Callithrix jacchus: one gene and its partners. Each later gene encodes a partner of the first gene's protein in a complex. Links are inferred from orthologs where the notes say so. Each region holds a gene or a part of one and is shown in the gene's direction. Other genes may lie near its edges. The genes, in order: BAK1, BNIP5 and PXT1.

What was found.
Region 2: the proteins of BAK1 (region 1) and BNIP5 are in contact, whole or in part, in a crystal structure (PDB 8IGC), measured with the Homo sapiens proteins. The link is inferred for Callithrix jacchus from reciprocal best matches to the Homo sapiens genes BAK1 and BNIP5. Residues at the interface, in NP_001179.1 of Homo sapiens: Leu78, Ile81, Gly82, Ile85, Tyr89, Glu92, Phe93, Met96, His99, Leu100, Tyr110, Lys113, Ile114, Ser117, Leu118, Ser121, Asn124, Trp125, Gly126, Arg127, Val129, Ala130, Phe134, Ala180, Leu183; in NP_001010903.3 of Homo sapiens: Ile246, Ile247, Gln248, Met249, Ile250, Val251, Leu253, Leu254, Lys255, Arg256, Val257, Gly258, Asp259, Gln260, Trp261, Glu262, Glu264, Gln265, Ser266.
Region 3: the proteins of BAK1 (region 1) and PXT1 are in contact, whole or in part, in a crystal structure (PDB 8GSV), measured with the Homo sapiens proteins. The link is inferred for Callithrix jacchus from reciprocal best matches to the Homo sapiens genes BAK1 and PXT1. Residues at the interface, in NP_001179.1 of Homo sapiens: Ile81, Gly82, Asp84, Ile85, Asn86, Arg88, Tyr89, Glu92, Phe93, Met96, Leu97, His99, Leu100, Tyr110, Lys113, Ile114, Ser117, Leu118, Glu120, Ser121, Asn124, Trp125, Gly126, Arg127, Val129, Ala130, Phe134, Asn182; in NP_694535.2 of Homo sapiens: Ile78, Ile79, His80, Lys81, Leu82, Ala83, Met84, Gln85, Leu86, Arg87, His88, Ile89, Gly90, Asp91, Asn92, Ile93, Asp94, Arg96, Met97.

What each region holds. Positions count from the first base shown.
Region 1 is NC_133505.1:41,823,796-41,826,353, reverse strand, and holds the end of BAK1 (bcl-2 homologous antagonist/killer), read left to right. Parts: intron 1-323; coding exon 324-504; intron 505-628; exon of another isoform or gene 629-629; coding exon 630-734; 3' UTR 735-1,963; downstream 1,964-2,558. UniProt on the Homo sapiens protein: Plays a role in the mitochondrial apoptotic process. Upon arrival of cell death signals, promotes mitochondrial outer membrane (MOM) permeabilization by oligomerizing to form pores within the MOM.
Region 2 is NC_133505.1:44,631,121-44,634,772, reverse strand, and holds part of BNIP5 (protein BNIP5), read left to right. Parts: intron 1-425; coding exon 426-487; intron 488-1,086; coding exon 1,087-1,327; intron 1,328-2,171; coding exon 2,172-2,303; intron 2,304-3,381; coding exon 3,382-3,446; intron 3,447-3,652.
Region 3 is NC_133505.1:44,720,410-44,724,061, reverse strand, and holds part of PXT1 (peroxisomal testis-specific protein 1), read left to right. Parts: intron 1-1,928; coding exon 1,929-2,059; intron 2,060-3,652.

The sequences.
Region 1 (2,558 bases):
CTGTCCCTTGGGCTGCCAGGCCAGCACAACACCCACAGGTAATCTCCCCGCTGACCCCTCCACTCGCTCTGCCCTCTACCCTGTCTGTGCCCCTTTGCACCTGAGTGTACATCCCAGCAGTGGCATCCAGCTCATACCCCTCAGCTTTCTCCTTTCACAGAGACCCAGGTTATTCCCAAATACAGGCCAGGCTGGGGCAGCCTCTGCAGCCTTAATTCACAGCAAATTTAGCTTTCCAGCTGGGAGAGGGAAGGGAGAGGGCAGGCAGGCTGACGGGCCTCCTGGGGCCTCTCCACCAATGGTATGCAATGCTCTGCCCGCAGCCTGTTTGAGAGTGGCATCAACTGGGGCCGTGTGGTGGCTCTCCTGGGCTTTGGCTACCGTCTGGCCCTACACGTCTACCAGCGCGGCCTGACTGGCTTCCTGGGCCAGGTGACCCGCTTCGTGGTGGACTTCATGCTGCATCACTGCATCGCCCGGTGGATCGCACAGAGGGGTGGCTGGGTGAGTATCTGAGGATTGCAACGTCCTCCCTGCTGTTGGGGCTGCTCCTCTCCCAGGCCCCGCCCCTCCCCAGGTGCCTGTATCTTCTGCCTGACTCTCTGTGACCACCGTGTTTCTCCCGGCAGGTGGCAGCCCTGGACCTGGGCAATGGACCCATCCTGAATGTGCTGGTCGTTCTGGGTGTGGTTCTGTTGGGCCAGTTTGTGGTACGAAGATTCTTCAAATCATGACTCCCAAGGGTGCCCTTTGGGGTCCCTGCTGAGACCCCAGCCTGGACTTAAGCCAAGTCTTTGCCTCCTCCACTCCCTTCAGGGGTCCCCCCTCAAGAGTACAGAAGCTTTAGCAAGGGTGCACTCCAGCTTTGGAGGGCCCCTGTGTGGGGGCCAGTCAGGCTGCAAAGGTGCCTCAACATTGCATGGTGCTAGTGGGCCCTCTCTCTGGGCCCAGGGGCTGTGGCCTCCTCCCTCGGCTCTCTGAGACCTCCTTAGCCCTGTCTGCTAGGCACTAGGGAGACTGATAACTTGGGGAGGCAAGAGACTGGGAGCCACTTCTCCCCAGGAAGCGTTTAACGGTTCTAGCTTTTTATAATACCCTTTAGAGAGCCCATTCCCACCATTCTACCCGAGGCCAGGACGGCTGGGGTTTGGGGGTTGGTGGGTCTACCCTCTGTTCCCCAGGATTCAGCTATGCTGGAGCGCCTAAGAGCTGGGACTTGATCCTGGTCCTGGCCCTCCCAAAGCATCATGTGTTCCAGGAGCAGGACTGACTGGGAGACAGGGGCGGAGGTCCTGCCCAGCGCTCTGCCTGCTCCCATTCCTCCCTCCAGCCATACTGCCTTTGCAGTTGGACTCTCAGGGATTCTGGGCTTGGGGAATGGGGTGGGGTGGATTCGCAGACGAGAGCTGTCTGAACTTACGTGTCAGAAACCTCCAAGCCTGCCTCCCTAGGTCCTCTCAGTTCTCTCCCTTCCTCTCTCCTTTTAGACACTTGCTCCCAACCCATTCACTACAGGTGAAGGCCCTCACCCTGGGGACCTTGGGTGAGTGGCATTCTAAGGCCCCTCCTTGCCCAGACTACAGGGCTTAGGACTTGGTTTGTTATTTCAGGGAAAAGGTGTAGGGAGTTCATCTGGAGGGTTCTAAGTGGGAGAAGGACTATCGACACCACTAGGAATCCCAGCAGTGGGATCCCCACCTCATGGCTCTGGCACGGTGTACTCCGGGGTGTTGATGGGGGAAATGTGAATACTTGAACTCTGTCCCCCCACCCTCCATGCTCCTCACCTGTCTAGGTCTCTCTTGGGGGGGGGGTGAGAGTCCCTTCTCTATTGGGCATTGCCTAGGGTGTTGGGGGAGGGGAGAGAAGTTCTTGATTCAGCCAAATGCAGGGAGAGGCAGCTGGAGCCCGAAGCCACTCCCTATCCTCTGAGCGTTTGGAAATAAACTGTGCAATCCCCTCACCCCGACTTAGTAGTTTTTGTATTCTCTGCTCCCCCTCTTTCCATCAGGCTAGACTGGGGGTGCCTGATATTACTGACTAAATCCTCACACTAGGCTTCCAGAATCCCATGGAGGTCTGACTATGGTCCTGCAGCCCCCAGCCGCTGGAAGGCCTTCACCCCTCCTCATGCACTTCCCTCATCTCTGTGGGTTTCATGCAATTTCCCACCCTTTAGGACGTTTGAACTGCTGGATCATAGCTACAGAGCTGGTGGAGCAGCTGCACTTATCTGAGGACCCCCACAGGCCACCTCAGGCCTGGCCTGAATTCCTCTCCCACCCTGGGGCTATCACCCACGCTGGTCCAAAAGGCCTTTCTCCCCCACACTTAGCTCTGCCTGGGACGCAATGTCCCAGCTCCCCCTTCCTGTTGTCTCCACAGTCAGCACGCACGCAGGGCTTTCATTCTAGTTTTATGCTGCTTGGGAGTCCCTATGGGGACGCAGCCAGGGGTGATAAAAATAACAAGCATGGGGGCGTTGAAATGTTCCAAAATCTACAGTCTTTCCAGTCCTGGGCACCCTGGTCTGTGTTTCTGATGCCCTTCCAGAACGG
Region 2 (3,652 bases), about 2.8 Mb from region 1:
TCACCATGTTGGTCAGGATGGTCTCAATATCTTGACCTCGTGATCTGCCTGCCTCAACCTCCCAAAGTGCTGGGATTACAGGCATGAGCCACCATGCCCGGCCCTTGTTTGCTTTTCATAGAAAATGTGCCTTAAAGGGGAATTCTGCCTGAACAGGGGGAAGGTGCAAGGTGAGGGCACTTGTAGGGAACAGGCCTTTCCAGATGGCCCTGAGGGGACTCCTCCCGGGTTTCAATTTGGAGGCCCTCTTTGGGAAAGTGAACATGTGTCCCATGAAACCAGCTCTGCCCTCAGGCCACCTCTGGCAGCTCTTTAGCCCCCTGGAGAATCACCCAGGGAGCCAGCTGGGCATAAGGAAATGAAGACTGACCTTAGAAGAGCTTTTCTAGCACTGAAGTGTAACCATGCATGCTGATCTTTTTCAGGAGAATTCATTCAGAAGATCATTTCCATGCTCCAAGATGCAGAAGAACAGCGAGGAGAGGAGGTGAGGAAGATGCTCCCCACATAGCCCTGACCTCACTGTGGGCTCCCCAACCCTGCCTGGGAAACAACTTCCTGCCCCTCCTGCACTTCTGTGTCCTGCCAAAGCCCTGCTCCAGTCCCTCCTGGTTTTTTTGGAGATGGAGTCTCACTCTGTTGCCCAGGCTAAAGCACAGTGGCTCGATCATGGCTCACTGCAACCTCTACCTCCTGGGCTCCAGCGATTCTCCAGCCTCAGCCTCCCAAGTAGCTGGGACTACAGGTGTGTGCCACCACACCTGGCTAATTTTTGCATTTTTAGTAGAGACAGGGTTTCACCAGCTTGGTCAGGCTGGTCTGGAACTCCTGACTGCTGGTGGTCCACCCACCTCGGCCTCTCAAAGTGCCGGGATCATAGGCATGAGCCACTGCACTCAGCCCCAGTCTCTCCGTCTTGAAGCTTCTCCAGCCCCCTCCAGACCACACACATTTCCCCCTCACTGAGCATCAGCCACCTTTCTCTGGGCAATACCTGCTAGCCCACCATGAGTTTCTTTCCCCAGCTCACCTGAGATCTCCTCAAGGTCAGGGGCCCTGACTCAGTTTCTCTCATCTCCCCCACAGCAACCTCAAGTCCAGGAGGAAGAGGTGTGTATAGAAAACCTGGCTCCACTCAGCAGAAGGAAATCTCAAGAAAAAAAGTTGAGCTTCAGGAGAGCATTTTACCATAAGAAACACAGCTCCAAAGAACCCAAGAGAGCAGGGGCAGCAGGGGCCACCAGCCCAGAGACCCGACGGCCCAAGAGGCCCAGCTTTCTGCCCCTGTGTGTTGGTGGGCATCGGCCCTCCACCTCCAGCAGCCTTGGTGAGCAGGCCTGGTGTTGCCATGGTAACAGAGCCTTCCTCTCAGACAGGGCTGCTGTGGGGCCTATCCGTTGCCAACAGTCTGGCTTAGTGGGGGATGTCCAGCCCTAACTGTTGCTTTCCATGCTGAGCAGAGTCGGGGGTGTGGAAGTGTGGGGAGAGGTGAGGGGCCAGGTGCCAGCAGGCCCCCACCCCTAGCAGCCCCTGCTCACAGCGCACGCCCTCCCCACACCCCGCCACACACAAACACTTAACAACAGCCGTGGTGGGAGAGCCGTGCAGCTGTGCATCAGAATCGCCTGGCCAGTTACATAGAAAAGCACAGAGACCTGGGTTTGATGAAGTAGGGTATGGCCTGGGCCTTTTTTTTTACTACACCAAAGCGCGAGGCCACTGGTGTACCGTGATTCCCCTGACATCACAGAGCACCTGCTGCATGCTACTTTCACACGTATCATCTCATTTAACCTGCTCGAAACCCTGTGAGGTCAGTCTTATCACTCCCACTTAACAGATGGAGAAAGAGAGGCTCAGACAGGCTGAGTGACCCAGAAAGCCTGGCAGAGTGAAAGGGTTTGTTTGGTGGACCTGTCGGCACACCTGTTTTAACTGCACCCCTCCCAGACTGTGAGGAGGAGGAAATGGTTGGTGGGGGAAGGAGGAATTAGGTTTCTGGAGAAGGCCAAGAGAGCACCACGAACTCCTCTGAGGCAGAGCCGGGGGCGGGAAACTCACGGAGGAGCCTGGAAACCAGCCCTGGCTTATGCCTGTGCCTCTGAACAGCTTCTTGTCGGGAACTGGATTAGCTCTCTGTGAAACACTCACCAACTCTTTTTTTGCCCTAGATCCAGAAGATCTCGAGTGCCAGGAGCCCTCACCTGCAGAAGGCGAGCCTGTTGTGGTCCCAGAAGCACCCTTCCAGGCCAGAGGCCACACATCAGAAGGGGCATCTCAGCTGAGTGGAGTGTGTGAATCTAGTCAGTATCACCCCTGCTCTTACCCGGACAGCTTCCCAGCGCTTCTCCTCCATGTGGAGTTCACAGGCAGTATTGGGGAGGGTTCTGAGAAAGGAATGGGGAAGGCAGCAGGCAAAGACCCCAGGAGACTTTAGGATGGGGTAGGGGGCACAGACTTGGCCTTTTAACTGGGGCGGTTGGGGCAGTTGCAGGTAGAGGACACCTGTCTGTTCCGTGGGATGTAATTAACACCTGCCGTTAGTTTGCTTGAATGTTTCTTGTGAAATTCCTAGCTTGCTCCAGGTCTCATAAGCAGTGGTGTGCTGGCAGACCACTGGGAGAGGTGATGCCCTGTTTTGTAGCCTTTGCAGATTTCCATGGCATAAATATTTTTTACCTCCGCTGATTTCAAGCTGCCAACAGTTTATAACAACTAGTCCACAAATTAATTAGCTGGGCACGGTGGTGGGAACCTGTAATCCCAGCTACTTGGGAGGCTGAGGCAGGAGAATCACTTGAACCCGGGAGGTGGAGGTTGCAGTGAGCAGAGATTGCGCCCACTGCACTCCAGCCTGGATGACAAAGTGAGACTCTGTCTAAAACAAAACAAAATGAGTCTACAAATTTCCTGAATAGTTACAGTGAACTTAGTATGAGCAGGCCCTGGCGTACCACTGCTTAGAACCGAGGTGAATGGGTGCATTCCCAATGGGTCTGTAGCCCTGGCATGTCTCCTCCCTGTATTCTGATGCGCTGCCTCTAGTCCAAACTCCCATTCTCGACTGGGCTACTCTGTAGCCTGGTTAAGGGACACTGGGAGGCCTTAGTTTCCCACCTATCAAATAGAGCCGAATGTGGTTACAGGTGAGGCCCAGCAAGCCAGAGTCCCTTCTATTTCTATAAAGGGAACCCAAGCAAAGCTCTCACGCTCCAGCTCTAGTTTAAGGCAAGAATTTTCTTGATCCATCATAACTAATGTGCGTGCGGAGTTTTAGAGAGAATACTGTCTTTCACAGGTGGATGTGTTGTTGCAGCGCTTTGTTTTTGGAAGGGAACTGGGCATCACCCAGTCAGTAACTCAATCCTTTCTTTTCCTTAGAGGAGCTCATCATCCTGAAGCTGGTGGCGCTTCTCCAAGAAGTGGATGGTCAACTGGGGCAGCAGGTGAGCACCACTCAGCCTTCCCCAGGCCAGCCCCAGGGCCTCATCTACCCACAGCTGAGACCTGGGTTCCATCCCTAAGTCTGCACCTCTGGGCAATTTTGAGAATACCCCTTAACCTCTCTGAGCCTCAGTTTCAAAATGAGAGATAATTACCGACTCGACCAAGCTTAGTGCATATGTAGAAAATGCCAGACATGCAGCAGTTG
Region 3 (3,652 bases), about 2.9 Mb from region 1:
TAGTTTGTGTCTCTCTCCCATTGGACTCTTTGAGGACAGGCCTGAAATCAAAGGTCCTCCAATTTTATTGAAATGAAACAGATCCAGCACAACTCTTGCTTTCTCTATGAAACCATACTTACATCTACTTTAGCCCAAATTTATTTCCTTCTCTTCTGTAGTCCTAAAGCACTTGGGAATTGTATCATCTGTAACCCATGCGTTCGTTCTAAGTGACTAAAGGGCAGAAACCTTGTCTGTATGTTTTAGGCCCTCCCCAAGGCACCCAACAAGTGTTAACCTACAGTGTTGCTTAAAAACGCTCATTGGTTGCTAGAAGCAAATAAAGTTTGGAGGGCTCATCAAGGAGAGTGGGTAAAAATATTAAAGGGGGCTGGGCATAGTGGCTCATTCCTGTAATCCCAGCACTTTGGAAGATTGAAGTGTGAGGATTGCTTGAACCCAGGAGTTAAGACCAAGATCAGCCTAGGCAACAAAGCAAGACCCTGTGTCTATTTAAAAAAAAAAAAATATATATATATATATAGTTATTCAAAATAGATTTTTCCTTTATATATATATATATAAATATATATATATAGACACACACACACATACAACTGTAATATATATTTTATATATATATTATATATATATATATAGTGGAAAAATCTATTTTGAAAAACTAAAGATCTATTACTGCTTGTCCAATACAATAGCTACTAACCACATTTGGTTATGAGCACTTGAAATGTGGCTGGTGCAATTGAGGAACTGAATTTTAAGTTTTGGTTAATTTCAATTAATTTACATTTTAAAACTGATACTTGATTTAATTGTTGGAGCCCTTTTAAGTATGTTTGAAATGACCTGGATATGTGAATCTATTTTTTTTTATTTGAGACAGGCTCTTGCTCTGTTGCTCAGGCTGGAGTGTAGTGGTGTGATCATAGCTCACTCCAGCCTCTGCCTCCTGGGCTCAAGCAATTCTCCCATGTCAGCCTCAGTTTTGTAGGTGGGACTACAGGTGTGAGCTACTATGCATAGCTAATTTTTAAATTTTTCCTGGAGACAATGTCTCACTATGTTGCCCTGGCTGGTCTGAAACTCCTGGGCTCAAGTGATCCTCCCACTTTGGCCTCCCAAAGTTTGGGGATTATAGATGTGAGCCATGGCATCTGGCCTGAATCTACTTTTTAAACTGTCAACTTCATGAAATCCAAGTATAGATCAAGATTTTCCAGTGAAAAGTTAGGCTCTAAATTAAGGCGTTTTATAAGTACAAAAAAAAAACACTGAATTTCAAAGACTTAGGTATAATTTTAAAATGTAAAATACGTCATTAATAATTTTATATTGATAAATGTTATAATATTTTGAGTAAATTGATTTAGGTAAAATAAATTGCTAAAATTAATTTTACCTGATTTTACTACTGGAAAATTTAAAATTACATATGGCTTGAATTATATTTCTATTGGAGAGAGCTGATGTATTCCAACAGTTAGGCTTTGCTTTTTGATAATTATTATAATGACTGAATTTCAACCGTCTCATTTTTTTTTTTGAGAATGATTTTGCTCTTGTCACCCAGACTGAGTGCAATGGCGCTATCTCAGCTTTCTGCAACCTCTGCTGCCCGGGTTCAAGCAATTCTCCTGCCTTAGCCTCCCAAGTAGCTGGGATTACAGGTGCCTGTCACTACGTCCAGCTAATTTTTTGTATTTTTAGTAGAAACAGGATTTTGCTGTGTTGACCAGGCTGGTATTGAACTCTTGATCTCAAGTGATCCACCCGCCTCGGCCTCCCAAAGTGCTGGGATTACAGCCGTGAGCTACTGCACCCAGCCAACCCTCTCATTTTCTAAGACAGTTTTTAGTAACTAGTGGTAAGTGATTTTACAGATAATTAAGTGATATTATCTCTTTTGAACTCTTCTATCAATGCAGATCATAAGCTACCTTCTCAGCCCAAGGAGCATAGCATTGGTCAGAAGCATCACCAGGAGGAAATAATTCACAAGTTGGCCATGCAGCTGAGACACATTGGAGACAGCATTGATCATAGGATGGTTCCAGAGGTGAGGCTCCACTTTCCCCAGCCAGGGCCTGTCAGGTTGGAGGAAAGAGTAAACAAAACTATGGCTGCCAAGTATCTGAGACACCCAGAAATTATCGAAATTCATGGATTAATACTGTCTGGATTACCAAATATTCGATCTAAACATTGTGAACCTGAATTCAAAGCTGGCATTGAATCTCATACTTGCTGCTCAGATTGTGGTCTGTGGACTGGCAGCATCAACATCACTTGGTTAGATGTGCAATGTCTGAGACCCCAGCCCACCCAGTCAGAATCAGAATCTACCTTTCGCTCTTGTTTCCCAGGCTGGAGCACAATGGCATGATCTTGGCTCACTGCAACCTCTGCCTCCAGGTTCAAGTGATTCTCCTGCCTCAGCCTCCCAAATAGCTGGGACTACAGGCGAGTGCCACCACGCCTGGCTAATTTTTTGTATTTTTAGTAGAGATGAGGTTTCACAGTGTTAGCCAGGATGGTCTTGATCTTCAGACCTCGTGATCCACCTGCCTTGTCCTCCCAAAGTGCTGGGATTACAGGCATGAGCCACCACACCCAGCCCAGAATCTACCTTTTTATGCATTCCCCAGGGAATTTGTGTGCACACTGAAGTGTGAGAAACTGCTCCACACCCTCAAAATAGGGTGCAACTGGAATCACCTGTTGAGTTTTAGGAATGACAGATGCCTGGGCCCAACCTGGAGAAATTCTGATTTAATTGGCCCAAGGTAAGGCTGGGGCACCTGGCATTTTAAAAACTGCCTCAGTGAATCTAATGCACAGTCAGAGAGGAGAACCTGTGCCTTGGACTTTGGTTATCCTCCCTGAATCAGCCCGAAGGGAAGGAGGCCGGCCCTACCCCTGCCGGTTTCTTAGTTTCTCCTGATTATTATAAGAGATAATAGGGGAAAATAGGAAAGACTAATGATTACTGTTTGGGGTGATGAAATCCATAGCTAACTTATTTTTTTCTCCAGAGCAACCTGTATTTGGCAGTAGAGAATGATCACATGGGCTCTGTGACAGACGGGATGGCAGCCCCTCAGAGCCCAACTTTTTGCCCTTAGATTCAACTATCCTGTGAAGCTTTCTTGGTGAAGCTTCCATCATGCTGCCCTCCATCATGCATGCCACAGGGAGTGCCGTGTCCTCTTTTATACTCAGGTCCAAATGTGGACAACACACAGCCTTGCCCTCAAATAAAACATCCCCAAGACAAAATATGAATGGGAGATCTCAACAATAATGCTATAAAAGCAAGAAGGTGCCAGGTGCGGTGGCTCACACCTGTAATCCCGGCACTTTGGGAGACCGAGGCGGGTGGATCACTTGAGGTCAAGAGTTCGAGACAAGCTTAACCAATATAGTGAAACCTCGTCTCTACTGAAAAACACAAAAACTAGCCAGGCATGGTGGCACACACCTGTAATTCCAGCTATTTGGGAGGCTGAGGCAGGAGAATCACTTAAACCCGGGAGGCAGAGGTTGCAGTGAGTCGAGATTGTGCCACAGTGTGGGCGACAGAGTGAGACTCTGTTTCAAAAAAAAAAAAAAAAAAAAGCAAGAGGGAAATAAAGAGAAAACAGCCATAGAG